2 linked regions of the Schizosaccharomyces pombe genome follow. The protein of the gene in region 2 interacts with the protein of the main gene of each other region in a biochemical or structural test. Each region holds a gene or a part of one and is shown on either strand. Other genes may lie near its edges.

Evidence for each region.
Region 1: the proteins of smd3 (region 2) and saf5 form a complex in vitro, tested with the Schizosaccharomyces pombe proteins (one study listed by BioGRID).

The regions. Positions count from the first base shown.
Region 1 is NC_003424.3:1,786,423-1,799,121, reverse strand, and holds saf5 (protein saf5), read right to left. Parts: upstream 8,616-12,699; 5' UTR 8,498-8,615; coding exon 7,844-8,497; 3' UTR 7,723-7,843; downstream 1-7,722. Other genes in the region: mrx11 (uncharacterized protein), read right to left, coding at 287-775; protein Mmc1, read right to left, coding at 1,242-2,822; poly(A)-binding protein Crp79, read left to right, coding at 4,150-4,270, 4,356-4,533, 4,625-5,099, 5,171-6,529; mrpl1 (mitochondrial 54S ribosomal protein uL1m), read left to right, coding at 6,879-7,640; ftp105 (Ubp5 interacting protein Ftp10), read right to left, coding at 9,430-10,623, 10,676-10,930, 11,030-11,407, 11,464-11,671, 11,770-12,416, 12,485-12,517, 12,580-12,622, 12,665-12,684.
Region 2 is NC_003423.3:1,687,480-1,705,266, forward strand, and holds smd3 (Sm snRNP core protein Smd3), read left to right. Parts: upstream 1-14,676; 5' UTR 14,677-14,702; coding exon 14,703-14,739; intron 14,740-14,784; coding exon 14,785-14,844; exon of another isoform or gene 14,845-14,899; coding exon 14,900-15,029; exon of another isoform or gene 15,030-15,082; coding exon 15,083-15,149; 3' UTR 15,150-15,281; downstream 15,282-17,787. Other genes in the region: fructose-bisphosphate aldolase Fba1, read left to right, coding at 888-1,964; U4/U5/U6 small nuclear ribonucleoprotein complex subunit PRP38, read left to right, coding at 2,669-2,810, 3,009-3,499; transcription factor Sre1, read left to right, coding at 4,349-7,051; SPOM_SPBC19C2.10 (BAR adaptor protein ), read left to right, coding at 7,742-8,329, 8,445-9,362; protein Mdm34, read right to left, coding at 10,256-11,614; mrpl51 (mitochondrial 54S ribosomal protein mL43), read left to right, coding at 12,603-12,668, 12,760-12,922, 13,019-13,227; cytosolic thiouridylase subunit Ctu2, read right to left, coding at 13,394-14,494; phosphoprotein phosphatase Phs1, read right to left, coding at 15,557-15,633, 15,686-16,222, 16,273-16,285; palmitoyltransferase Pfa3, read left to right, coding at 16,922-17,149, 17,222-17,787. UniProt on the Schizosaccharomyces pombe protein: Plays a role in pre-mRNA splicing as a core component of the spliceosomal U1, U2, U4 and U5 small nuclear ribonucleoproteins (snRNPs), the building blocks of the spliceosome.

The sequences.
Region 1 (12,699 bases), on a different chromosome or scaffold from region 2:
CTTTTTTTGAACAATTTAAAAGATAGGTTAGAAATTATTTTAGCAAATGTAGGTGTAAACGCGAGACTTAAGAAAATTCGAAGTGGAAGAAGTAACTGGTAAAATGTTAGTTGGAAACAAACGGACGCGTAGAAGACACCATATTATTTTCGACAAAATAAGCTTATTTATTAGCGAAAATTTGGCCAATCAAATTTGTACCTGAAGATACGCTAAATATGGGCTTCTAAATCATTTTGGCGAAAATTCTTATGTACATGTATATATGCCATTGAGGCGATTTATACTAACATACCTTGACTACAGCATAAGCAGCAGCACCATCAAGGAGAGTTTTGCTAACTTTTTCGAGAGGCAAGTTATATCCTAATTTGGCAAAGATGGAAGCTGCGACGTGAGAACCTTTTTGAAGATATTCGCCTGGTAGCCCAGTGGGCGTCCAATCGAGTGAATGAAATATAAAAAAGAAAATTGGTAAAGGTAGTATAGCACTTAGCTCATGTAAAAAAAGAAATGCAAATATATGAGAAAAAGGCTTATCCTTAAATTGATGTGCTTGCTTGCCAGTAATTTTTAGGAGGCGTTTCCATAGTTTGGTGTCAGACCGAATGGTATGATTCGAGGATTGTACCTTTTCCTGTAAGATAAACGGCGAATAATGAAATTTACGCTTATTCAATAAGATAAATGAGCCTTTTAGAGCTTGCAAGGGACTTCTAGATGGTATATGTAAGGTTTTAGCCAGACCTGAAATTCTAATAGTTGGTGGTAACATATTGGAGCTAATGAAGAATACTACAGTGCTTACAGTGTATAAATGTTAAGCTGGTACCTTGCGATTTTTTTTGAAATCTTGATTAAATAAAACTGAATGGATGCTGCTTAATTTATGCTAGCTAGTTTTACTACTACTGTACATGAAAACAATTAGAATCTTCCAAAAACCTCGACTTAAAATCACGAATATTTTTTACTGAAATCGCTAACTCTGCTGTAATTTGATTACTACATTATAAAAAAGGGATTCTTTCTCCAATATGTATTAAGGGGCGAGCAGTTATCATTGTTACACAGTTTTCCTTAAACAATAGGTTCGTATACTATTATTTTTAACAAGTGAAATTAGATAAGGTAATTAATTATTTTACTCCTAAAAAATGTTAAATCTAACTCAGAAGAAATAAAACTTCGATACCTTGTTACTAAATCAAGAGAGGGGTGATAGGTTAAGTCATAAAAGTTCATAGAAGTTGCTTTTTCGAGGCTGTAGGGCTATCCGAAAAGCTTGACTGTAGTTGAAATTCTTTCATAAGGTCCAATGTTTTCGTCAACTTTTTCATAATTAAAGAAATATGCTCTTTCTTTTCAGCTGCAGTTTTCTGCTGTACATAAAAACTAGAGCGCCCAAAAACGTTACGACAAAGCTGTCTTTCAAATTTCCGACCTTCTTCCAACAATTCCTTCCAATACTCTTTCTTCCAAGATCTATAGCTGGACTGTAAATAGTAGAGGCCGAAAACGCCACAAACAGAAAATACGCTAAAGGCGTTGTACAAAGAAAAATGAGAGACAAAATATAAATAAAGAGATCCAAGAGCCCCCAGTCCCTGAAAAGCAGTTGTGTATAGTGTCTTTCGACGTAAAGGTTGTAAGGCTTGATCTACAGCACTCATACGGGAGTTTTGAAATGTCCCAAAATCTTTCATGGCGAGTTCAAAATTATTTTTATCGTCACCGTTTTTCGACAACTCACCTAAAATAAATGACAATTCGAGCTTTGATTTTTGTAAGTACTCATCCTTTATTAATTGTTTTAGACTTGCAGGTAACGACTCAATGTTGGAATATAATTTCAATGTACCAAAATTTTTCCAAAACTTTTGAAGTTTCTTTTCAAACTCTTGAAGATCGACATCACAGTACTTGGCCCATTTTTCTATCGATATCAGCATAGAATTGCTAAATTCGGTTGCGCGAACGAGATCTTTCTCGGCTTTTGTTAGAGAAAAGGAGCAGCAAAGATAATTTAGAAAACGTTTGCATATTTCTAAATCACTTGTTGGCGTCATGTTGGTGCGTAGTTGTTGAAATCCACTTTGCTCCCATTGATTTTGGTAATTTTGAAAGTTGTGGGGATCATCCTGCAGAGCTTTGGTGGCTTTTAATGCAGCCGATGATGAGACGGGTATTATAGATTTTTCATTTTTTAAAAGAGAATGCAACTTTGGGTCAATATCGAGCACCAACGTGTCTGCAGTAGTAAAGTCACTGGAGGTCATTCTTAAATAAGAAGTAGAACATATATATCGAGCATGGCAACTAGCCAAAATATCAGAGTCCACTGTTCCCGGAGGAAGGTGAATAATTTCAAGATTATTGACTTGTAGGAAGTCGCTTGGAAGAAATAAATGTGACGTACTATACCTAGCATTTCGCTCAAACAAAGCATTTGTGCCAAACGAGATATAAAGTGGGTTTAGTCCATTGTGATCCATGGCATATTTCAATTCTTTTGACTCAGGCATAAAGGGAGCAGCGAGAAGAGCATGTGTGATTTGTTTGACACACGCGACATCTTCGGCAGAAGAGCTTAACGCCTGTAGCGCAATCCTCCTCCTAATATTCGATTTGGAAAGCAAAAGGGAGACATTTCCTACACGAATTGTTGCAGGAGAATTGTCATCGACTAATCTTCTCAAAGAATAAAGCTCATTGAGCAGCTTTTTTTGCAAATTGGAGATGATCTGCACATGTGGAGCGGTCGACGACCTGCGTATCGCCAACACAGAGCGCTTCCATGTTTTTATTCCAAATCTTAGCATAATTTCTCTGAGCCTATGAAAAACTAATCACAACAAAGGATCGCATATGAACCACACTAGATTCGAAAGCCAAAAAGGAACGAGATTACCGGATTTTAGATAGTATTAGTTAAAGTTCCAAATACACAATAAAACATTTACTAATAAGTTAATAATTCTTAAAACAAATACTATAGTGAATAATTGTTGTCTGATGGCACCCGAAGGTTGTATAGTAGTTGTGTCTATTGAGTAGTGTCGTAGATGTTATATCAAAATACCTTAACCCAGCAGTATAATATTCTTGGAAAATCATTGGATATTGTTAACCCTTAAATCTGTATATGTTTATTTATTTGTTCAGTCAAACAATCATAAAAACAAAAAAACAAAGAATTTTGCATTTTGTTAATTTAGACGAATTCATTGTTCATAAACAGTGACAAAATCCGAGGTTTATACAAGTATTTGAAGAAAACGGTATTCGACAGAATGAAGCTTTAAGTCTAAAATGGATTAGAAGGAACTGAAATGAGCTACATAAATTGCTCTTAATATTGGAGAACTGCTAACATTTATAACCTTTTTAATGATTACACTAAATCTTCACCTATTGCTTTTCACTTACTTTAATGGTCATTCGATTCAAACTTATTTTATCTAAATCTATTACCTTTTGCCAGTAAAATACTGTATAGTTAGTTAGCAAAGAATATAGGCGAGTAAAGCTCTAAACTATCATACTTCTAAAATCAAAGAAAACCAAAGAAAAAAGCAGATGAAAGAATTTAGTAACATCTGGATTTTGAGTAATAAACTGATTGACCTAACTTATTGACAGGTTGTGCGATATCAGTTGGTTTGCCAAAAACAACAATAATTGAAAATTTATGAATGGATTCACCAGAATATTAGCCTAATTGCTTTTTGATTCATTTAAGGAAATTCAACTTTTAATTTGAAATCAGCGAAAGCCGAAAAAAGGATGGTATGAATTTGAAATATTTTTTAATGCGAGCAGGTAATATTGACTTTAATAATAAAATAAAATAAAATGTCATTATAAATGCGATTTGAGGATTTAGTAGAGATATGGATAAAACAGATATGAACCAAACTGCATGAATATTAGGAAATCAAGTTGTAAATATAAAACAAGCATTTTTAAAAAAAAACAAAAAATATTACTCTAAAAATGTTAAGAGGTCAATTTAAGGTTTGTTTACTCTCATTTGTTATGGTGGTAATAGTTTCAGTCATGCATCATCGAAATGTAAACAAACAGCGATCCTATATATACCAAAAACAACAACCATTCCTTTCCATCACACATCTTTTTTGAGATAAAATGAACAATTCAAAACTCTCTGTCCCCGGACAGTATGAAGATGAAAGCAGTACTATATATGTAGGAAATATAGATTCCCGACTTTCTGATGAAGAAATCATCAAACACTTTTCAAAATATGGTATGAACACACAAGTCAAGGATAAAAACACGAGGAAAAACATTAGAAAACATAAATAAAAGCGATATATTAATCAATTCTTTAGGACAAGTAGAATCCATCTTTCGTCGATTACTTGATAGTTTTTATCCTAAGGAAAAAGCGAAACCTTTTAAACCTCCTAAAAATGGAGTGCAATATGGGTTCGTCAAATTCGTTAATGCTGAAAGCATTGAAGAAGTTCTAAAGGACGCTAAAGGAATGACTCTGGGCCAAAGAAAATTGTAAGTGACTGAAGGGAAAAATTAGAGACAAGCATTACAGAAAAAAAAATCGAAAAATCATTCTCCAAAAAATTACTAACCTAAAAAAAAGGACCATTAAAGCAAGAGTCGTAAATCCTGCGAAACTGACAGACAAAAAATTCAAACCTAACGATACGTCAATCACTGCGAACGTGTTCAATCCTAGCATCCAAAACAATACAGATGAGGAAAACGTTAAGCCAGGACTCAAACAGTCTCAGATTAAGGAATTTATTCCAAATGTCGAAGAAAGAAATTGGGAAACTGTGAGAGGCATAAATTCGCGTAACCCGAAGCCAGAAACAACGCTTACCATACCGTCTCTTGGTTTGGAAGATATTAGCATGCAAGTTGTACCAAATGCCTTCGCTTCTACGTTACCCCTTAGTATCTTGAACCTACCTGCCGAAGTCACACCGATTGACTTATATAACCACTTTAAACAGGCTGGTGTAGTAAAAGGGACGGCGGTCAGCCAGTTTCTTGACCAAAGAGGGTTCCGGTATGGCGAAGTGATTATGGATTCAGTTGAATCATGTCAAAATGTAAGCTCAATATGAAGAGAAAACCCCAATATTTGCATAATCTATTTCATGATACTAACCTCATTATTAAGGCAATAGAAAAATTAAATAACGTTCCATACAAAGGAAGCATTTTAGAGGTCAGTATAAAAAATAAAGCCTCTTCTTCAGTGAAGTCAATTCCCACAACGCCGACTGGTGAAAGCTTATGGCCTTTCCCATCGGAAAACGCTAACAAAACTCAAATAAATATCGAAAATGCTACATGTTCGAAGATGACATGGATTATGGGCTCACCAACTAAGGAGAAAAGCCAATGGGGTAGCGTTTCAACTACCGGTGTTTCAAATCAGCAAAATCATCCAGCCGCTTGGAACCCAGATAATAAACCTCAGTCAATCGTGCATTGGGACTCTTTACGTGAAAGCTCTCCAAGTATCCCTAATTCTCCTATTGACCCTTCAAATCTATACGTTAAAAATTTAGATGATACCGTCATCACATGCAAGAGTCAGCTGGAAGATTTATTCTCACCCTTCGGGTCGATTTTGTCTTCCATGTTAGCATGCTATCCAAATTCAGGAATCTCCAAAGGTTATGGTTTCGTAGCGTTTCGTCAAATAGAGGCTGCCGTTAGAGCCAAAGACACATTGAATGGAATGATGGTTGGGAAAAAAAGGATTTTCGTTTGCTTCGCGGAGCGAAAGTCTGACAGAATTCGTAGATTGCAAGCATTTTTTGCAAACAAACCTACTTCAGAACAAACAGCGCAGCAAGACAACAAAGCTTTGTTCGTCAAACCAGAAAGAAGCTCTACTGTTACCATCCGAAAGCCAATAGAGTCTTCTACAAACAAAATCTCTGAGAATCCCACGACCCTTTCAAGTAAGGTTGAAAATAAGAATGAGCCTAAGACTGGTGAAAACAAAGAACCCAGTCAGACAAATGAATATGTTAACTGTAAGCAAGAAAATAAGGAACTTAGTGGACAGTTATCAGGCAACTTGGATATAAAGAAAGAAGCAGGAAAATTGAGCCATGACGGAGAACAAGGAAACTTGTTAAAACCATTGGTATTCCATGCTAACACAAAACTAAATAACCGAGGGTCTGCTAAGATGGGTTCAACAGCCACCAACTTGAAGAAGATACAAGACATGCTTCACAACAAAAAGCTGAGTAATGCATACTTTGTGCCAAGAGCAAGAGCAACAACCTGTACAACTCTTACGTACGTAACAGTTGAGCCCTCACATTTCCAAGATGAGGACTGTAATGAGTCAACGAACATGCTTTCACTTGTCGGGTACATGGACAGCTATCCAGAAGCTACATCCAATATCCAAAAAATGAATTCCTATCATATTAAAGATTCAAATAAGGAAAATTTTTTATCAACAACAAAGGTTAACAACAATTCACCAACAACTATTCAGTTGACGCAGATTTAACAAGATGCGGTGAAGATATAACTATGAAACAAAATTCATAATGCTATATCCCTCAAAACTCCGATGAACAAACTTTTAACTCCTTAAAATATATACATCGTGAACGGATGGATTTGCTAGTATAACCCTACAGTATCTTACAACTACCACAACGTGGAATTTAAACGAAACCGTTTATTTTTAGTCTTTAATCAAAAACATTATAAGGAAATTTGATTTGAAAGATAATTCTTTATTAATTCGAAAGTTGACAGCTGGATCAGATTTGTTTAGAGATTTATGATTTTAGCAGGTTCATTGACTGACATCCAGTAGCTTGGTGACAGTTTGACGAACCAGATTAAAAACCATGAGTTCATTAATAGCGTTAGGTAAACGGCAAACATTATTGTCACATAATGAATTTTTAAATTTTAAAAATCAAAAGGGTTTCTGCAAAAGGTTTATTTCTCAACTAAACAAGAAATCCAATTTTCCCGCTCTTGCGATGACAGTTCCTGAAGCCACAAAATATCTCAAATCTGTGAGCATTTCTGTTCCATATGTTGGGTCTTATATGCTTTCAATTGCTTTAAAAAGTAATCGACGCGCTCCGTCAGCTCGTGGTCAAATTGCCTTTCCTCATCCATTTCAAGAGCCTCCTAAAATTTGTGTGTTTGCTAAAGGTGCAGCTGCAGATGAAGCTTTAAAATTGGGTGCAACCTATGTTGGTGCAGAAGACTTAGTAAAAAAAATTCAAACAGAGCCCCTTGAATTTTCAAAGTGCTTTGCTCATCCCAACTCGGCAGAATTACTACCACAAGTTGCTAAATTATTAGGATCAAAACGTCTTATGCCTTCAATAAAACGAGGTACTATATCAGATGAATTGAAGCCACTCATTGAATCTGCCCTCACAGCTGTTGACTATCGGCAAAATGATGCAGGCTCGATAAATTTGCCGGTTGGAAAACTAGGGTTCAGCGACAAGGAGCTACAAGAAAACATCGAAGCACTTGTATCAAATGTTCGGTTTACTTTGGCCAAACTGCCTGGAAAAGTTAAAGTTACCGTAAAGCATGTTCATCTTTCCGCCTCACATGCTATTGCAATTCCTCTCCAGTATAAATAATGATTAAAATGTTATTGCATGGGAAATTTAGTCTACAGTCTTGTCATTTGTAATATGTATTACATGATTAATTTTGTACAAATTAGTGAAATGTGTAATGATATTTTATCTAGTAAATTTAGAAGCCTGTTTATATTTATTTATTATCATAAACTACTTTTTAAAAAGTATGAATGAAACGTTAGAATACAACATTATGAAAGTTACTCTGTGCGATGCCATTTCAGAACAGGCGATTCCGGAGAATCAAATCTGTTATCACAAGCTGAGGTATCTACGTTTTCAGCCGTAACCCACTGGTGATTTGGATCAAAAAATAAGGACATAGGGTTTCCCATACTCGCGTTTTCAACATCATTATCTGAGGAAAAAGTGTCCGGATGTAGAGATTGGCAAGTACAAAGAGCCTGGTAACATGAATCAACATCAGTAACATATAATGTTAGTTCTAAAAAATCATCTGTGAATTCATTTTCATCTTCGGTAGAAGGAGCTTCATGCAATGTTCCTGACGACCGTTCAAATTTAAGAATGTGATCTAGCAAGGGTCGAATGGCTTCACCCTCTAATTGAACATATACATATGGCTTATCCTTGCTTTGTTTCGCATGAAGAGTAATGGTTTCATATGGAATTTTCCAGCCAGAATTCTGTTCTTCATCAAAAAGGATAAAGCTCTGTGAAGTTACTAATAAAGTTATCAATTTGCCCAAAGGAAAACTTTCCTCATCACTTCTAATTTTATAGGGGACTGTTTTTTCTTCAAAATAAACGATTTCTTGATTTGGCAACAACTTTTCACCATTTTCAACTTTGCGAATTAGGTCCTTTGGAAGTGAGTCAATTTTGGTAATCATAATTACTTCTTGCTTCCAATAGGTATTTAAGCATAAAAATTATTAAAAAACAGTAATAAGGCCACCTCTACCTGATAATTTATTGAAAGAAAAGGTTTACTGTGCGTTGTATTCTTTTGAAGTACTCAAATACAATATCTTCGCATATTAAGCATTTCGCAAAATCGAAAATATATTTCTACTCTTAACCACACGAATTTTTTATAAATTGAACCATTATGCCAAACAGGATATCGATTTTACTCAAATACTTTTGATATGCAATTTTCGTAAATGACAAGCTAGTTATTCATTGCAATTACAAAACAAACTCATGAATATAAATAGTTTTGTGGAAAAAATAAAGGAAAGGTCTAAGGTCTTTATGAAGTAATCCTCGTTACCCAAAAAATTGGGACTCAAAACTTTTGAAATTGGATTTTTTATTTTATATAGTAAACAGATTTATAAGTGTAGCGAAATAAAGCTAAGAATTTTTTAGCAACCAATTCATTGCTATATAAGGTTATACATTGATTTGGATACATGTAATGAATTAGCATCAGTGGATCGTTTCTCTCATAAAGGTGGGTCTTTCTAAAGTATACGAGATTGACTTTCAAACACCAACTTTCCAAATCAAACTTCGAAAGACTTTTTTAAAGCTAGTGACAAGGTTGGAGCAGAAGATTCTCCAAGCCAGTTTTTAGTTAATTAATAGAATGAAAACAAATCGAAAAGTTCAAAAATCAAAATTAGCAAGGCAAGATTCTGGTCATCAGTATATAATTAAATGATGGCAGTATGTGGATGCAAATCCTCCAAGATAATTTTTTAGTGAACAATTTAATCAATAAATTTTCAAAGTAAGATACCATAACATGCATGCAGGGTTTTCTTCAAATATTTTTTAGGACAAAAGTATACTTTAATTTACGCATTGAATTTAAGAATCACTTGTTGCGTAAACTGGAATCGTGGTTGACACTACTTGGCAGCTGTAAATACAGCAAATCGAGTTTGTCAAGTATAGATTTTGTGGCATTCTCCATTGAGTTAGAACTGTTTTCAGGAGATGCAACTTTCATGATATTTCCATGTTGTTTGTACACTTTAGAGGTTGTAAATAAAGAGGGAGTAGCCATTAAACCTTTTTCATCAAATGACAAAGTATAAAGCCAAACAAGACTTTGAAACCAATTATTCATAGGGACACTCCAAATAAAGTAGCGAAAATTGGGAACTCGAGGATGTACATCATTTAGCACAGAGTTAGCTAATAGTTTAACAGCTTCGTCAGTAGTTGATAATTCTTCATTCATTTTCTTGTATACAGGTAGAGAAAACTGAGATATAATGGCTAGAATAGAATCCAATTCAAGTCTTGAATGCCAAGAATTAAACCACGAGTTGGAAGGTGCAAACAAATTTGAGTCAATTTCTAAATCTTTTCCAAACGGATTGGATGCACATTTTTTAATAAGTTCTGAACTAGAAACATTTTCCGGTATTTTCCCACGCAACTTTCTAGACAGAACCAATGGAGAATCTGAGAATACATCTTGAAGGACTGTCGGGACAGAAATCGAAACATTTCTACTCGAAATATGTGATAAGCCACCGCGTGAACTACTGCTACTAAAAGGGGAGGAAAATTTATCTAATTCATCGAAAGGTGAATCATCTTCAACGGTAGCAACTTTTTTAAAGTCAGTATTTTGGAGTGGTGTTCCATCTAAGGAGGTGTTATCGGATGATTTAGATTCAAAATCACTACTTCCTTCCGAATTGAGGGCCACTAAAGGCTGTGATTTAGTCTGAGCAACGGCAGGAAGTTTCATAGAATTAAGATTCAAAAAAACTTGCTGGAGGCGAATAATAGAATAACTGAGATTAGGGTTTTGAGAAAACTTGTTTTCAACTATACTAGAAATAGCCTGTAACAGGTATTCAAGAAGCAGATGATTGCGCGGATTACGAAAAAGAAACCGAGGAGATGAAAGAGATGAACAGAGTTGCATTAATTTGGCACACGTAACGAAACTTAGGTTTTCAACAAATGGTGCAATATTGCATATGGTCAACAATATAACAGGAGATAAACTGCTAAACGGAGATCTCTTCACTGCTGAAATATGAAAGCTAGACTGGAAGGCGTAAGTAATAAAATTAAAATAAACAATTAATCGTGAATCTTACGATAATCAAAAACTCTGCATAAGACATTGGTGGGACTGAGAACCCAAGGGAAGACATCAATGATTGTGCATTCATACAGTTTCTATTTAGTTTTTCACAAAGAACCTTCTCGCATGATAAATAATGAACGATAAAAAGGCAAATGCGAACAAGGCCGGAATGTTCATTGTCTTCACGATATCTAAGTGCATAAAACTGAATAGAAGTTAAAAACTCCGTAGCATAAGGAGAAGTGATCAAAAATGCTCGGAAACGCTGTTTTAAATTAGTTAGCAAATATAATGAACGCGTAACAACATAAATTAAACAACTGTACAAATAATGTAATATATATAAAAGGACCGTTGAACATACTTTATTATATAAAATTGCTTGCCAAAGAAACAAAATAATTTCCGGAAACGCGATATTAGGCTTTTGTACAATTGAAATATAGGCAGAGATAGCGGAAACTGGTGCATTCAATAGCCGATATAGTTCGTTAACTAAAAATTCATAATCAGCTTGTAATTGAAGTCGAGAAAAATATAATCTATACTGATTTTCGATAGCAGCGCCAGGAGAAAGATTGAGTCTCTGTCTGAAGTATTCGACTGTTGTTTCATGAGGGGTGTGATCTAAAAAAAGCAAAAGGATTTGAGAAGTAAGTTTTGAGAGTGCAATGCTAGAATCATTATAAGGTACTAGAGTTGAATACGAAGCCTTCCAGCTATCAGGTCTAAGTCGCAAAGTCTAAAAACTAAGTTAGTTGTACAACAAAAAAAGGTAAATTTTAAGCCAAAACTTACAGTATTTATAAGGGAATAAAGAAAAACTAGTATAAGCTGCTTATTTGCTACACAGGTCAAATAAGTAAGGGTGTGAGAAGCTACTTCAGAAGATCGATACAGCCTTTTAGAAATCAATACTAACAGCAAACGAAGAACCTCAATGCGATTAAACGCAAGTTCCTTTGTGGTTTTCTCTTGGGTTTCTGTTGTACCAATTCCATTTTCCCTGCAAAAGTGATTAGTTAACACATTGCATTTAACCAAATATAAAAAAGCAAACGAAAAACAAAAAAAAAATATATATATATATACATATATACTTACCATATAATGTATGCATATTGCTCAGGACTTGAAAGAGGAAGCGTAAAGCCTCTGCAAAAAAGCAAACGAAAGACGGTGTCCAGCAATTCCTCCATTAAAGTTTTTTCATGAGTAAAAGTTTCTTCAATAGAGCCAATTTCTTTGATTGTGCTAGAACCACCTACTGATACGTCAGCGGCAGAGACGTCTGAAGAAGCATCAAGGGAGATGGAAGAAGCAGGAAAGGTGCTCACAGGAGATAATGGGACTGAAGGAGACTTCTGCGAGAATTCGTTCTTTTGGGAGATGGAATTTTCAAAATCTAGATCGTCTTGAAAATTACTAAGGTCTAATTCGGAATTTTCCTTTGGTAAATTTCTCTTCTTTCTAAGGCTCCACCAAAACTTTTGATGCCATTCTTCTAAATCGAGTTTCTCATTCAAAAAAGGAATGATTCTAGTAAGTAGGCGAATGCAGTTTAACGCTTCACTCGCTGGTGCCGTTTCAGGATTTGGAAACTTTTTGTCATTTTTCAACGCAAACAAACGAGATGTCAATACAAGCAGCAATTTTTCAAGGTTTACAAAGGCATGATCCCTCATCTCACGAATGAGACCTGGGGGAAAAAAATCGTAAACTTCTGGACAACTTTCAGGTACACTCCAAAGCTAATAAACATAAAAACGAATACATTAGTAAAAGCGTCTTACACAAGTTAATAAAAAAAATTTCATACAGAAACCCAAACTTCATCATCCAACGGTATATCCTACTAGAATTAGCTTGCAATGTTCTCTTAGCGTATCATCCACCCATAAACACAAACCGTACCGGTTGAGAAGCTAATCTTGCAATTCCTCGCTGAAATGCCAATCTAAACAGTTAGCTCATACGAAAATTTCGCAATGTTACTTACTTTGACTCTTGGCCTCCCATATTCTCTAATTAGAT
Region 2 (17,787 bases):
GCACTTTGTATATGTCCAAAAATACTTTTCATTTCACATACCTGCTTGTGTAAAGACAGTGATGAAATGCGGTGCAAAGTGTCTATTCTTACATTGATGGTAAAGCTAATTCAAGCATGCTTGGAAGAAGAATTGCCTTGCATTTCTTGATCATTTGACCCAGGCGACAACTATAAAATAAGAATACTACCGAAGATGCAGATGGGGTGTGTGGGCACAACACCATCGAACCGAACCGAGACGGCCAGACTGTGATAACAAAAGAAATGCATTAGTTTAGTTGGCTGGTTCAAGTTGGTTGAGTAGAAAAATCCATCACTCAAACTGGGAAGTAGGGATGGCTGGGAGAATGGAGAAGCGAGACGAGACGAGACAAGACAAGAGGAGATGAAATGAAATTAATGAAAAGAAATGAATAGAAATGAAATAGACATATGAATAGTATAGGGCAGGTTAGATGTTTGTATTTATAAATGTTTAATGCTTAGGTTTGTATTTATGTTTACGTTGGTAATGTTTCTTTTGTTTGTGTTTGTGCATCGGGTGAACGAGTTGGTTACCGCCGCCGCCGCTTCCTTTTGCCTTGACACACACCACGCAACGTGTTACGGTTCTTGAACGGAATTGCGTACTTCGATGCAGAGCGCTATCGGGGGGATTGGGGATGGTAAATGGAAGAAATCAAAAACTTCTTTTGACGTCAACCCCTAAAACAGGGGACGGTGATTGGTGGTAACCACGGACCGGATAGGTATCGATATGCACATCAGGTGAGAAGTTTTTCCGAGGCCAACTCCGGCTCCATGGTATATAATAGAGGGTTGCGCGCTACTGTTGCAGTATCATACTTCCAAAGGTCGTATAGAACACACACACAAATTAGCAAAATGGGAATTCTCGATATTGTACCTACTGGTGTTATTACAGGTGACAACGTTTTAAAGTTGTTCACCTACGCTCGTGAGCACGGATTCGCCATCCCTGCCATTAACGTCACCTCCTCCTCCACTGCTATTGCTGCTCTTGAGGCTGCTCGTGAGGCTCGTTCCCCCATCATCTTGCAAACCTCCAACGGTGGTGCTCACTTCTTTGCTGGTAAGGAATCCTCCAACGAGGGCCAAAAGGCCTCCATTGCCGGTTCCATCGCCGCTGCCCACTACATCCGTTCCATCGCTCCTTTCTTCGGTGTCCCCGTCGTCATGCACTCTGACCACTGCGCCAAGAAGCTTCTCCCCTGGATGGACGGTATGTTCGAAGCCGATGAGGCCTACTTCAAGATTCACGGTGAGCCTCTTTTCTCTTCTCACATGCTTGACTTGTCCGAGGAGCCCAAGAAGGAGAACATTGCTCAAGTTAAGGAGTACTGCAAGCGTGCCGTTCCCATGAAGATCTGGATCGAGATGGAGATCGGTATCACTGGTGGTGAGGAAGACGGTGTCGACAACTCTCACGTCTCCCACACCGAGCTCTACACTCAACCCGAGGACATCTGGGATGTCTACCGTGAGCTCTCCTCCGTTACCCCTTACTTCTCCATTGCCGCCGCTTTCGGTAACGTCCACGGTGTCTACAAGCCCGGTAACGTCAAGCTCCAACCCGCTCTTTTGGGTCAACACCAAGCCTATGTTAAGGAGCAACTCAAGACCACCAACGACAAGCCCGTTTTCTTCGTCTTCCACGGTGGTTCCGGTTCCTCTGTCAACGAGTTCCGTACTGGTATCAAGTGCGGTGTCGTCAAGGTCAACATTGACACTGATACCCAATTCGCCTACGTCGAGGGTGTCCGTGACTATGTCTTGAAGTACAAGGACTACCTTATGACCCCCGTCGGTAACCCCGAGGGAGCTGACAAGCCCAACAAGAAGAAGTTCGACCCTCGTGTCTGGATCCATGAGGGTGAGAAGACCATGACCAAGCGTGTTCTTACCGCTCTTGAGGACTTCTACACTGTCAACACTCTCTAAATTTGTGGTTTTTGAAAGATGGAAATGATTGAATAGACGGTGGGCTTCATTAAAATTATATTTTTTTGTCCCCTTAATGAGAGTTCATACTGTTTTGAAATTACGTGTTTGAATATAGAGACATTGTTTTTTAAAATTACCATTGTAAAAGCATAAGAGATATTTGAAGTAAAGTAGGGCAAAGTAAGTTAAGAAATTTTTTTGGATTGGATTTGTAAAGTGTTTTTCAAGCATACTGTATATTGTTAAGATTTTTCTTTTTATCCTTTTATTCATCTTCCTTAATTGGTTAATGTGTTCTTAGGTATATAAATTTACAAAAAAAAAATTTCCGATTCCACATGACAATGAATGAATAAATAATATGTCCGTGCGTTTATTTGAATTTAATATATATCGTTTGGCAAATCTCGATGAGTAGCTTAAAACAACATAATCGCTTGAATTTCATGTGCTTTGTGTACACAGTGTGCATTGTTTAGTAGATCAACTTTTTCTTCTTTCATTGCAATGAGTACGGGCATTTTCCCTTTTCCTCCATATTTCACGAATCCATGTTTTTTTTAGATAACCCTTTCTCAATCAAAACTCAGCATGCTTCTTCAGACTTGACCACTTATATTGTCAGTACACTACTGCTCCTTAAAAGCTTACTCCAAGTCAAGACATCAAGGTTGGAGCAATCATTCTCTTCATGAGGTACTATGGCTGATTTTCTTGCTAGAGATTATCGCTCTCAAGGTGAGGCGGCGCATGAAATGCTGCCGACTTTCCTTATAGGAAAAATCTTGAGAGAACGCATAGTAGATTCTATTTACTGGAAAGAACAATGTTTTGGATTGAATGGTATGTGTTCTTCATTGACAGAAAAGGAAAGTGTTTTTACATATTAGAGTTCAAGTACGATTACTTTCCAAATCGATATTTTGAGTGATATAGCCTAAATGAACTTGATTTGGCAAGCAAAGAAACCAAGTATAGGTACTTGCTGTTTTAATCAGTCCTCAAACTGTTATTCCAAATTCACTGACTAATACATCTTAGCTTGTTCATTGGTGGATCGTGCAGTACGGCTTGAATATATAGGTGGTCAGTATGGAAATCAACGGCCCACCGAGTTTATCTGTTTGTTATACAAGCTTTTACAAATTGCACCTGAAAAAGAAATAATTCAACAGTACCTATCTATTCCTGAATTCAAGTATTTACGTGCCCTGGCTGCATTTTACGTTCGGCTTACATGGGATGATGTGGAAGTGCATCAAACGTTGGAACCGCTGTTAAGAGATTATCGGAAATTAAGAATTCGTACTAATTCTGAGATCCGATTAACATATCTGGATGAGGTTGTTGATGATTTGCTAAATGCCGAAGTAGTTTGCGATATTTCCCTGCCCCCATTGCGAAGTCGACTCCAACTTGAAGATTTGGACTTGCTTGAACCACTTTCATCTTCTTCAGACGAAGAAGATGATGATGAAGAACAAATTAGTAAATTGGAGAGCAATGAAGGTGCTGTAGATCGGAATATTTAAGGATAAGTAATATACAAAAAAAGAGTAAAGCGAAGCACGCATTTTGTGATGCGTCTACGATTTAACTTGGAATGACTCTACAAGGAAAAGTTATGGATTGAAATGGTTTTACACTTGAACTTATTAAAAAACAATTTATGAATAACAAACATCTAATCAAATAGATTTGTATATTAATATATATCGATTTCACATATTATCGCAAATACGCTATTTTTTCTTGTAAACAAATTTCGATAGACTTAGTTTACAGCACACTAAATATTTATAAAATGTCTTTGATACGCCACGGAATTTTTTTCACACCATACTTTAACGAATCACCCCATTCCGTCTATTTTCTTACGTTTCGTTAAAAACATGTCAGTCCACTTCTTTTTTGCTCACATATGAATTAACACGACTTTTCTCTTTCATCCATTACCATACTCGAGCAATCCTAACTTTGCTTATCGGGTGATCGATTTTAAATTTTTTTACTTATAGGACGTCCAGTAGCCTTTATAAGTTCATTGACAACAATTGGGTTGTTGCTGAGAGTTTGTTTACTGCGCTCGACTCTTGCTATAACCTAATCTTAAACGATTATCAAGCTGGATTTCCTTCTTGCTAAGAACATTATTTTATTTTACAACTCATTCAAGAAATTATTTTGCTATCTATCGCCTTGGATAGCTTTTAATGCGTCAAATTTTGGATAATTTGTAGCTCGATTAGAAAATTCGCTCAACATCCTATACAGTCACAGAGATAAAAAACCCTAAGAGTTAAATTCAATTTCTCTTTATTGTTGGATTTTTTAACTCGCTGTTAAATTCCGCTTGGTTCTAGCTGGAAATTTTGTTAAATATGCAAAGCTCAATTCCGTCAGTTTCCGTGTCGGTCGCTTCTCCTGCAATGGAAACTCCAACAAAAGCTTCGCCTGACAGCAAATCACCCAATTCAGTGGGTGCGATTCCTTCTTCATCCCCTTTGGCTTCATCGACAAAGGCTTCAACTTCTACTCCCTTTGTGGAGAATTGTTCCAATCTGTTGTGTGATTTGGCTAGCATTGTCGAGGACTCACCTCCAACCTTGACCAACACCTCGTTGTCTCCCCATTCGTTTTCCCTTTCTGATATGGAGTCATCAATGAGCAATTGGCTTAACCCTTTTGCGTTCGACAATACGATGAACTCGGCGCCTCCTCTGTTTACTTCGACCAACATGGGCTCCCCTAACTCGTTAGAAAACTCTACAAATCCTCTTCTCTCTAATTGCGGCTCTCCAAATTCATTTCAGAATGAGACCTTTACCGGCCCATCATTGAATGAGTTCGATGCCGATGATAAAATTCAGCGCCAAATGAAAATCCTTCACTCTGTTGATACAATCGATCCATCGACTGTTCAAAATTATCCTTCAGCTGATATGTCAAATCCAGAAGTCAAATTGAAAACCGAAGAAATTATTACACCCATGGACACCACTTGCAAGCCTGAACCTTCTGCCAAGAAAATAAAGTTGTCTCCTTCCTCGGAAGATTCTTGCTCAATTCCTGAAACATTACCTTTTTCGGCCCCCAAGTCTAGAGGCTCATTATCTCCTTCTGAAACCCCAGATTTTGTAGCCGGTCCTGGAGGAAAACCAAAGAAGACAGCTCATAACATGATTGAGAAGAGATACAGAACCAACTTGAACGACCGAATTTGTGAATTGCGTGATGCAGTTCCTTCACTTCGTGCTGCTGCTGCACTTCGTTGTGGTAATTCTCTGGACGATGAGGATTTGGGGGGTTTGACACCCGCTCGTAAGCTTAACAAGGGTACAATATTGGCAAAAGCAACTGAGTATATCAGACATTTGGAGGCCAAGAATAAGGAACTACAGAAGACTAACAAGCAGCTTTCAGATAGGCTGGCTTTCTACGAAGATCCTTCGATGGCTCCTCCTTCTAACGATACTCGAGCCGTTAACTCTGTTAATGTTGTTTCCTCATCTGACTATTCTGTTCACCAATCTTCTCGACCAAACCTAACCCAAAGAGCTTTTACTTCCCCAACCCTAAATACCATGGGCCGCACAGCACTAAATGGCATGGTTGGACTTGGTCTATTCAATTATTTTGGAAACGATTCTTCTCAATCTGTTTATGGTTTATTCGCTCTTCCACCTTTTCTTATGTCTCCATTCACAGGTACTGTTCTCTTTAACATGCTGAAAATTGGTGTTGTTTTACTCGGTTTATTCTATCTTTTGCACGATAACTCTCTTTTCAAAGGCTTCAAGGGTGAAAAGAAATCTAAAGTTAGTACCAGATCTTCCATGTCACCATCCTCAATCTTATTCCGAAAAACCGTATTCGAAAAGTATTGTTTATTGGACCATTCTACTTCGACTATTTCTCTATTTTTTGGATTACTGATCTTCACTCTTAAATCTGCTTATGGCTATTTGACTCATCGTTTGAGTGCTCTTTATACCTCCTCTGAGAATTGGGTTTATAGTGAGCAACAACTTGCTGAAGTTCGCAACATGGAAAAGCTTTTGGATGCCCAATTAATGGGTGGTGATGCTAAAGTTGACCGTTTGAGGCTCTTAATGGTATTTGCCAGTTCATTTTCTCTTCCTCCTTCAAGTCATACTTGTGCTTTACAAGCAATGTATTGCCAACTAATTTTTTCCAACACCTCTGTCCCATCCGCTATCGTTTCGAAGTGCGTTGCTTTCTTCTGGAATGCTGCAAAGAAACAACATAGCAAAAGTTCTGTACACGCGGAGTTACGTGAGCTTCCTGAGTGTACTGCTAACCTAATTGAAAACTCCCACGCTGACGACGTTTTCTCTCCGAATATGGTTGAGCGATTGTGGGTTCTAGCAAAGTGCACCCGTGACTCTGCTCAAATGTCAGATAGTATTATTAGCTCCTTATCTGATGTTTTGGTTTTATCTCCTCTAGAGGTGCTTGCCTCATGGTATGCCGCTGATTTGTTGGATGCCCTTTTGATGGAAAGTTTGAGCCGTAAAGTTGAGATATCCGAGATTGAGGAAATTATTTCCCTTTGTCCTAAGAACTCCTCTATTATTCGTCATGCTTTACTAGCTAAATTGGTTTTGTTCCCCGAGAATACAGCTGATTCTTTGAATGAAGTCCTTGCAGCATACAAGAACACTTTGGATTTATGCAGCCAAGATAAACGCAAGCAGTCAAGCGTGTTAAAGATCAACTTATCCAAGCTATTCACACTCCACTCATGCCTATCATTAGCACTCCAACGCCTTGGATACGGGGATGTTTCTAAACGTATGTATCAGGAAATCTTTGTACCTGATAGTGATGCAGACATTACACCTTTATCTTTTATTATTTCCTGGACCGCTTTGAACACTTTTGCTCCTATTTGCACATCTCCAAAGGAAAACGATGTCGTTGAAAAGATGGCCATGTACGTGCGGACGGCCATCGGAACTTTGAAAATTCAAGATTTGAAATTATCTCGTAAGTTAATCAACTCTTGCATAGATATTGGATCTCGCTTACAAGAAGATTTGGGTTATGTTTCATCAGCTTAAATTGTCGATTCTCGAGCTTTGAGAACAGTTAGTATACAACGCTCATCTATTGCAACTACCTTATTATTTTCCATGATTGTTATTTCATCAGTTATTTTGCGTATCATTTTTTAGTTTTAATTATTCTTTTAATAAATTACAGTTGTCGTCGGTAAGAGCAGTGATAAAAATATGCAATTAGAGTTATTTTGTTGTATCAAGCTAGCACAATTCACCATTTGAGTATATTTGGTGATTAAATAAAATGAATAGAGTACAATTTGAGGCATGCTAAGGTTCATCGAACTAACTATTTTTTTAAATAATGACACATTGGCAAGATTAAAAAATTGGATTCTTCTCTTGCAGTTAACTCTCTGCTGTTGATGAAGATGTGTTGAATCTTAGACTGCTGATATCCATTTTATACCAATTGTATAAAAAAAAGAATGTCAATTATTAATAAAATGGAAATGCATAAGATAGATAAGAGTGGTCTGAAGTTTTACGGTACAGTACGTAGTTCCGTCCTTACTGAAATCTCGGGAGTAATACGAACCATTCACCAAAGGTAAACAAACTACCAAATTGTTTTTATGTATTATTTACTACTATATTGGTTAACTTATTCTGAATCCTACAACCTAAAATAAAAATAAATAGACTCGCTTTTATTATTTGTCGATTCAAGAACTTAGCTCTCCTTTGAAGATGAACAAACATTTTGCAAAGCTTTCACAATGGACCGGTGAAAAATTTGGTTTTGATCGTCAGAAGACTACATTATCTGATGATTTTTGTTCCTTGAAAGGTGAAACGGATGCCTGGCTTGTGGGAATGGATAAAATTCATAGAAGTTGCACAAGATGGGTACGGAATATGGATAAACGAAAGGGCCTGCTCGACGAGAAAGATAAGCAATTACCTGTTACTCACGTTGGATCGTCTTTTGTAGAGTTAGGGCAAGCATTATCGCATTCTTCAAGCAATTCGCACACTTATATCATGTACGGAAAAAGCATGGTTGAAATAGGGCACCTACAGGAGGAGTTTATGGATTATTTGAACAATTCTTTTTTGGCAAATCTAGAAAATTCTTTAGCCGAGTTTAAGGCTTTAGATGTGAAGGAAAAGAAGATGGAAAATCGACGACTTGTCTTTGACGCGCTTTCTACAAAAATACAGAAGGCCAAAAAAGAAGAGTCAAAGCTTGAAGAAGATTTACGGAATGCTCGCGCAAAATACGAGGAGTCTCTGGAAGAGTTTGAAGACAGAATGGTTCAATTGAAAGAATTAGAGGTAAGTATTATCGTCCTAATGACATTCGTTACCAATTTGATGCCATAATTAAACGATTATTAGGCCTGCCTAACTTATCTTATATGACTCAATATTTTTGTTAACTAATTTTTAGCCTGATCGTGTCGAAAACGTTGTACGACTCCTACAGATGCAAATACGATTTCATCAAAAAAGTCTCGATTTGTTAAAGGGACTTGAGATGAACGGATTTTCCAAGAAGAGGGATAACGTTAATATTCCAAAGCGTACTTATTCCGCAAGATCTATTCCATCGAATATTTCTTCAACAAATGTTGCAACAACGCCCTCGAATACCATTTTTGAAATGGATGATACTTTAAAGGCCGATAGTTCTTCAAATGAATATCATTCTCCCACCAATACACTCCCTTCTTACCATACAGAAGCTGACCTGGACAATTCTTCCATAGCTTCTTCAAATAGAACACAGCATACTGAAGATAATTATAACAAGGATGTTTCGGATGCTCAAAATTCATTGGGGCAGTCTGCTGTAGATTTAACAACTCCCTCATCACCTCCAATCCCCCGTCATACCAAACCCAAACTGTCTACGACTCAAAGTACCCCAGTCAAACCGGCATCGTTACAAAGTGAGGAGGATATCCAGTTAAGTTTTAAACAACCGGAATTATCTGCTTCGTCGGCAGAATTGGATGAAAAGTTGAAGTCTCAGTGTAATGTATCCCCTTCACCTTCCAACATTTCTGATGCTCCCCCGAGCAAGCTTAATCGTAGTTATTCATCTCCACTTGCTTCCATTTCATCCAGAAAGGTAGTACGAATGAAATATTCATTTGAGCCAGAAACAGAAAATGAGTTAAAACTAAAAAAGGGAGATCTTCTTTTAGTTTTAAAAGAAATTGATGAAGGTTGGTGGGTTGGGGAGAAACTGGGTGAAGATGGGGTTTTTACTGGAAATACCGGAATGTTTCCTTCAAATTATTGTGTTCCAGCCCATCCATGGGACAAAACATTTCGGGCATTTTTGAAAAAGGGCTTTAAGTAGTCCCATTTATTCCGAGTACTATTGCTGCTACTTTCCGTCCAATTTTAATGGCTGTTGTGTCTACAATCATTCTTTTTTATTTCATTTTAAATGATTTTTTGAAGCTCCTTTCTTTTGCATTATTTCATTTTTTTAGCATAATACCGACTGATTTTTATGCATCACGTTACCCGGTACTCTTCATTTTTTATTTCGACTGTCGATATACTTGTCTGTATGACATTAAAATTGAGTGATCTTAACCTTAAAAGTTAGTTTAAACAGACTTGTTAATCATGTTAGCACCTATGCTTTAATATAATTAAGATTTATCTCGAACTTTTGTTTCCGTAAATTTCATACTTTTAAATAAGATGGAAAGAGTATGAACAGTATTATTTTAAAAGTGGATATAAAAATGTATTCATGAATATCATAATGTCAAAGATATCCTTTAATCTTTTAAGTTTTCTTTGTTATATATTGATTACAGGTAAATTTGAAGATTACATCTTAAATATGGAAATTTTCTAGTAACCGTTTTAAACGGGATAATGAGATTTAACTTACATCTCAGGACTTTTCTAGTTGAGCATTTAAATGCTTATTTAATTATTAAAAAAAAATTCCAACGCCTCAAATTATGGTAATCGTGATTATTTCATTAAAATGGAGAACATAAAATTAACACCAAGATATCCAGGTAAGAAAAAAGCATACTAATGTTTTAAATAAAAAGGGTAACAACTGACACGGAAAAGGAAATAACACCAAATGTTGAGGAGTAAAAAGAAATTCAGAGAACTAACCCTATCGTTAAAAAAAAAAATTATTTTCACTGAATAAACCATGAGATATGCTTGAAGAGTAGCAGGTTAACAAAAAAAAAGAGAAAGTTATTCACAGAAATTAACTTAAAAAGAACCTTTGGCAGCCATGAGACGTTGCAACATTAGCAACTTAAAGGCACTGTACTGAAGGCCAGATACTTTTCCGTTATCAACCTCGGACGGAATCTTTTGCTGCAGGTTTTCCAACCAGTTGTTAGTGATGGTATAATTCCTTTTAAGTTTATTAATGTTGGTAATAATCTTTGTAGGAGTATCAGGTATGGAATCAAACGCAGATTCAGTAAGGTCAACGTTTTTAGAACCAACAAAAGTTTCGGAAGAGGAAGCAGACTTGTTTGATGCTTCATGAATTTTAATTACATGTCTTTTCTTGACACGTTCTCGGCGGCGGAATTGTGAGGTACCATGACTACGACCAAAAATGGATGGCCTAGCCGTGGTGTCATTTGAACCAAGATAGTCTGATGCGGAATATTGGGTTGCAGGGGAAGATACAGCAGAAATATCATCAGATTGAGTAGTCAATTGCTGTATAATCGTATCGGGAGGAGTTGACCGGTATATGGACATAGGTATTGAAGGAGAAGAAATAGGAAGTAGTGCTTTTCTGGATAAGGCTAAAGAAGCAATAGATCGAATGTTAGGATGCGTTTGGACATCCAATGGGCCCATTTTAATTGGGAGATGAGTGTCGACTTTCGTAGATTCATGATAGTCGGGAGGACCATCTAGCAAATCTGGGTTATAATTAGCCAGAGAAGTATGAGATTGGTTAGGAGAAGTGAAAGGAATTTTTTGAAAAGATAGATTAGAGTCGGACTTGGCAAACCAAATTCTTGACATTTTGTATATGATGGAAGGAAGTTCTTCCTGAAACAGGGAGACCAGTTGCACCTCGATTTCTCTTTGTAAAAAGCGAGCAATAGCAGGAATAGAATCAAAGGAGGAAGATACACGCACGGATTCTAAAGGATCGTTTCGAAATACCACAGTGATACCTTTCTGCTTTGAAAACACCAAAACAACTATTCCGTTAAGCTTTAAGTCGGAAAGTCGTAAAAACATAGGCACAGTAAGCGGTGCACGAGATGCTAACATTGTATTACGAGAACTAAAACTGGGAACATTACTTTTTTGCACCGATAATGGATTGGCACGAATTTTTGTTTGCAAGACCAAAGAAGCATCACCCGAATAATGGAGATTAAAGAGGCCCTGAAAGCGGTCTGGCGCTAAGTCGCCAACCTCTAAAATTTCCAGTTGAGGAGGTTGGGGACCCAAATCCAACTCTTTTACAGTGATGTGGTCTGCAATCATCGAGTGTTTAGTGCCTTTGTTTAAAGCAGCCGTAAGCAAAGTGGTTGCTCGCTCATAGAATGACTCAGAGAACTGATCACTCCATCCCTTTACACGAAACGACATTCTGTTGATTTTCCTAAGTTATCTACATCAACTATGAAAAATGTCAAATTTTTTTGTAAGGAACCGTCTAGTATAGACTAAGTAACTAACGCTTTAGATCAATTTCTTTACAAAATTTTTATTAAATTCGGATAGGGAAACGACAACTTCCATACAGTGGCGGACAGTAAATAAACATCGATAGGCTGGCTGATGCACTAGTGCGGCATACTGAACCTTGATATAGCCAAGATAAGGATAGGGTCGATCGTACTGTATATGAACGAAGGTGTATTAGAATGCATTAAATAAATTATTACAAAATGCACAGTAGTTTCTTATGCTATACTGGTGAAATATATTTTCTTGCTATTCTGTTCATTTAGGAGGGATAAATAAAGCTTCATGAAATGAAATTCCTTAGATATTCAAATCAGAAATTCAGCCATTATTTTAGAAATGATATTAGTGGTGTTGCTTACTGTATTAATTTGCTATGTTGACAAATATCTAGGCTGAAGAACTTCGAGTACAAGAACCGATACAACTTTGCTCTTTCAGAAAAGGATATCTCTGCATAAATGAATGATATTAAATCAAAATTGTTCGTTTTAAAAAACCTATATTATGTTTGTTCGCAGTCCATGTACTACGTTAAAAAATCACTGTAAACTTTCTAGATATCATTATTTAGAGAAGAGCAGAAAGGTAAAGTATTGCAAAGTGTGTAACCAGAAACTGTAGGTAGACAGTAAACTTGATTTTGTTGCTAAAATTTTTTATAAAACTAATTGCATACTAAGTTTAACATTCTAAATCAATTGGAACAAGTATTGAAGTTTAGAGCAATTTGGGATTTGCGAATTTCCACACACCCCTTTACGTCTCCATACCGACTTTTCATTATTTCTGCAAGGATTTGCTCACCCAACTTTTTTCAATATAGCATATTAAGAATTCTGGTTTTTAAAAGACGGTATCCCCTTTTTTACGGCCTTTTACTCACTTAATGATGATTGAAATCATTCCTAAAATTTCAATTCCCAAAAATGGACTAGGTTCATTTACCCGCCCAGTAAGATTTAATCAGCTTTCTTTTTTTTTAAAAAAAAAAAAAAAAAAAAGATTGGCCTTCATTAACTTCGTATTACTAATTTTCTTTTTAGTGCCGTCGAATTGAGTTTTCGTATTGTAATTGGGGTGGAAGCTCAAAAGGCATGAAAGAATTTTTATCCACAAAGCTTGAGTCTTTGGCCAAAGAATCTCAAGATGTGGAATTTCATGTTACAAACCGCCAAGGCAAGCATCCATTAATCCGAGCTTATTACAGTACGTCCAAGACTTTTCTCTTATTATGGTGATCCTCTTAGTTTTATAAATATGAACTCCTTAAAATAGTGTTTTTTACTAATGCTACGATAATAGATACTGGTCGAGAGAAGGTCATTTGTACAAGGAAAATGTCAGCGTCTTCAATATTTCAAAAAGCAATTCTATGCAGAGATAGTGATGGTTTGAAACCTCGCCTCATAAAATATCCTGTTGAGTCAACAAACCCATCCGTTCGTGGTATTTGGAGTCCATTTTCCGATCAAGCAAAGCCCCATGAAATTTATAAGAAAAAGTCCCCTTAGATTCCTCTACAAACTACTTATTATTTCATACAAAAAAAAGAAAATTCAATTTAATCATTTTCGTTATGTTATTATGTCTAACCTTTTTGTCCGAAATACAAAACCCTATCCAAATTTATCTTCCCATAAATACTCTAGTTAACCAGGTAGTAAGTGTACAGATGTATCAAATCCCTTCTTTTTCAATATCAGGAATATGCAACGTCCCTTTTAAGCTTTTTAAAGAAACAGAACAGCCATAGCAAACATTTTGATTCTTAATACCTTCAACGGAATCCGGATGTTCAACCGTAGTTTTTTGTAACCAAGTCTCAGCATCTTCTTGCATTGGTAGATTACAGATGGTACATATGGCTTCTGTAGAAGGCACATGCAATTTTGAGCTCATTTTGACAACGGTGCTAACCAGACTTGGGAATGTATCATTCAGCGATGAGAAATATGATTCTGTAACGCCATGAATAGTATTAGGACGTGCTTCAATTAAGCTATCGCAGAAAGCTAATCCCTTAATGTTCATATACGACTTGAGGTCTGAAGACAAAACTTCACGTAGGGGACGTAGTAGGAAAGTATCGCAATTTGGAAGCTTAGAGCAGACAGAAGTGTACCATGGTATCGCAAAACCTCGACCCTCTGCCACAAGTTCAAGAACTCTTGCAGCAATTGTAGTACCGCTATCACCAAAAACAATGGTATCACAATTTGCCTTCCGGGCATAGGATACTAAAAGCTTATCCCGAATTCGGTAAAGTAAATCTTGACGCGAGGCTAACGAACTAATGACTTCTGGATTAAATTTCTCATTATCTGCGTTTATTTCTATATTTCCTCGTGAGTCTGTAGCAATGGTACGGTTCAATAACTCAGCTTCACCAATAACTTTGAATGGACATTTAGGATAATTTTTGGAAATACTTTCCTCAATCGTTTTTGCAACAGCTGAATCCGTTCCCCACTGAAAATGAACTGCAAGCAATTCATCAAACATAGGCCGGTAATTATCATCTCGATATTTTGATAAATAATTGGCTGTTTCAAGCATTGCCATTGAAGATATACCACCGGAAATAGCCAGCATTGCTCTTTTAGATTTGCGTCCTTGTAAATTGGGTCGTACAAGCTCAAATTGCCGACGAATTTTGTTCTCAATTCTTCTGACAAAGCATGAATCGCAGACCGCATCTGATTTAGTCAGAACTGTTGCCTTATTATCGCATTTGGAACATTTTGAGTCGGCTGAATTGTCTAGAGCCGTGTTCTGCATTTTTTTAGATTTTTCTATTGTTTTTCGAAATGAAGGTCCACAAAGTACTTTCAAAAAAATTATCCGTATAAATAAATAAGTTTAAGAGATACCTATTCTTCTTTCAATTCCAATTTTATGGAAAAAGAATAGTTGGTGGTGCGCAAACCAACTAAACACTGGAATTTTTCATAGTGCCAGCTACTCACACAGTACACCACCATCGACCATGTCTCTGTGTATTAAGTTGCTTCATGAGACCCAAGGTACGATTTTTTACCCAATTTTTTTTTAGTAAAACTAATTTTTAGGCCATATCGTTACGATGGAGTTGGAAAATGGGTCTACGTATCGTGGAAAGTTAATTGAAGGTATATTCATTTTAAAACGATTTCTATTTTGTTATGGTTTACTTACACTAATTAGCGGAAGATAATATGAATTGTCAAATGAGAGATATCAGTGTAACTGCTCGAGATGGTCGTGTTTCTCATTTGGATCAAGTTTACATTCGTGGTTCACACATTCGTTTTCTCATCGTTCCTGATATGCTTAGGTAAGAATTTTTAAGTGGTTGGTTTAATCATAATTTTAACGTTTTTAAACAAGGAATGCTCCTATGTTCAAAGTTGGCCCTGGCAGAAGTGTTCCTTTACCTACACGTGGACGACGATAAAAGAACCGTATGAAAAAGGATAATAGATTTGGTGATTTAAGTAATGAAAAATTCATTTCTACTGTTGCTTTAAAGTTGAAAAACGTAATGATTTTTTAAATATTCAATAAATTAATGGACGCACGTGTTTCTACATTGCATTGTAAGTAGTAAGAGATATTGTGAATAAGCTCTTTTTACATCTTTTCGAAGTACGTTTATGTAGCTGCTGTTTATCGGAGTGATACCTTCGACTTATCTATAGTGACAAATGCTATTACCACTATTTTGTGTTGTTAAAATACATATTTACAACATAAATCTTTATATGCTATACGAATGCAAAAGTTAAGTAAAAAATTGAATAATATGTAATATCCGATACTACAGAATAATAAACCTAACTTATTTTAGCTTAGAAAAAAAAATTAGGTTCTTCTGGCAGCAGCCCGCTTGGAAATCTTTCGACGTTGAGCAAGCATATGTGTATACATAATGTAAAGACCTAGAAAGTTAATAAAGATTTTGGAAGAAAAGCTGGGTTTCACTCAACTTACCAGGTGGATAAATAGACATCAAGATGGGCCAAAGCAGCTTGTTCAAACTCCAGACGTACTGAGCAGCAATCCTACTTTTCAATACTAAAAGAAATTCACTTCCAGCACCGATGGGATAGAGGATTAGGAAGGTATTATAGCGAAGCCATGTTAAGAAAGCAGGGATGTCGCCGTTCAGGTTGAATGCATAAAATGCATAACGAATTATTTCGGTAATGGACCAAGCGATGATCATACTTAAGTATATAGGAGATCCCTCAATAACATATGAAAATGGATAGCACACACCCCAAACAAGGTAAAGTCGAGATGCAACTTGAATGATTGTTGTTAAAGGAGAAGAAGATACTAGTCCAAATATACTGTGGAATACTTCAGCTATTGCCAGAGTTTGTACCCAGCGAACTAAAGTATTTGTTTCATGAAAAACTACGGCTGTATCTTTGGTTATTCCCCATATCAATCCTGTACGAAGCAAAACGCTCATCCAAAGAAAGCAGGAGATAACATTGTATAGTTTTAAATATTGTATTTTTACTATTTTTAACTTTGTTAATAACTGAGATCTATAAAAAATCGAGTCTTACAAATTTTCGACATTTTTGTTGGGATTGTAGTTGGAACAATACGATTTTCAAACGTTTCACTACGCGGCCTCACTTGTATGAGACCATTGTTGGCCAATATTGTTTGTTGCGTTCTGGGGGATGGATAAATTCTTTCTATCAAAAGAATGTATACAAACACTTTACAAACAACTTTTAAAATTCGGATTTGGCTAACATCGTTATGTATTAATGAAAATATCAAATTCGCACAGAATCATAAATTGATCAAAAATAATATCAATCAGATTATTAAAAAATTAAGGTAAATTACATATTCTATAACTAATTGGGTTATCTGACTCGATTGATGATACGTGTCTTTATTTACATTATCAAGTCAAAAAAAATTTACAAACCCCGGGTATTAAATTAGTAATCTGAACCAGTTTAAAATTAGAAATTTATAATTATTTGAAAACATTTTTCTGCTATATGTAATTTGTTTAAAGTACTATGTGCTAGTCATTTCGTAAGAAGAAAGCCTGCTGTTACGGATGACTAACATCCTAGCCACAGCCAAACACTCCTTTCATCGAAAAAAAATTGCAATCACATGTAAGAGGTTTATTAAGGGACAATCTGATTATTATAATAATTATTGATAATTTTGATAGAAGTTATAAAAACTATGAATCTGATTCATAAAGTATCAACTATATGTCAATGTGTCTTGGTAATTCTTGCAAAGTATTGTATGCAAATAATTGCGCTTTCGTTGATGAGTGGTGTTCAATGGCTTGCTTGGGGAATTTACAAAATCAATAAAAATCGTGTAGGGATCATCATTTTGTTTTTGTACATTATGATCGTAACATGTTATGTCCTTACTAATCTTACACCACCAGGCTCTCCATCGGTACGTCAATTTCCTTTAGTATAAATATTATGTGAGTATTATTAAAACAGGAAACTAACTCTTCTGTTTCAGGAGACCTCGTTTGATCCGAATTCTACTAGGCAATATATGACATTACAGAATGGAAAATCTCGATTTTGCGAAAAATGTCAAGAATACAAATGCGATCGATCTCATCATTGCTCGCAATGTAATAAGTGCATTCTTCGAATGGACCATCATTGCATGTGGTTTAAAAATTGTGTTGGATTCCGTAACCACAAGTTTTTCTTCCTGGAGTGCTTCTACTTAAATCTCTACTCCATCTGCGTTCTTTATTCAACTTTTGTTGCCATCACCAAAACTTTCACAGCCGAAGGAGCGAATATTAGTGCTATTTATTTAGTGTTCTGGGGCTTTCTGTTTGCTTTTGCTGTTGGAATGAGCATTGTTATGACTGCCTTTACTTTTTATCATACATCATTGCTCATTCATAATTTAAGCACTTTGGAATCCATGAGCTCTTCATGGAGTCGATATACGCATTCCACTCAACCGTTCAATGTCGGCTGGTACGAAAATTGGTGCCAGATTATGGGGAAATCCCCATTTCTTTGGTTACTTCCTTTTCCCAATTCTATTGGGGAAGGTGTTGAGTA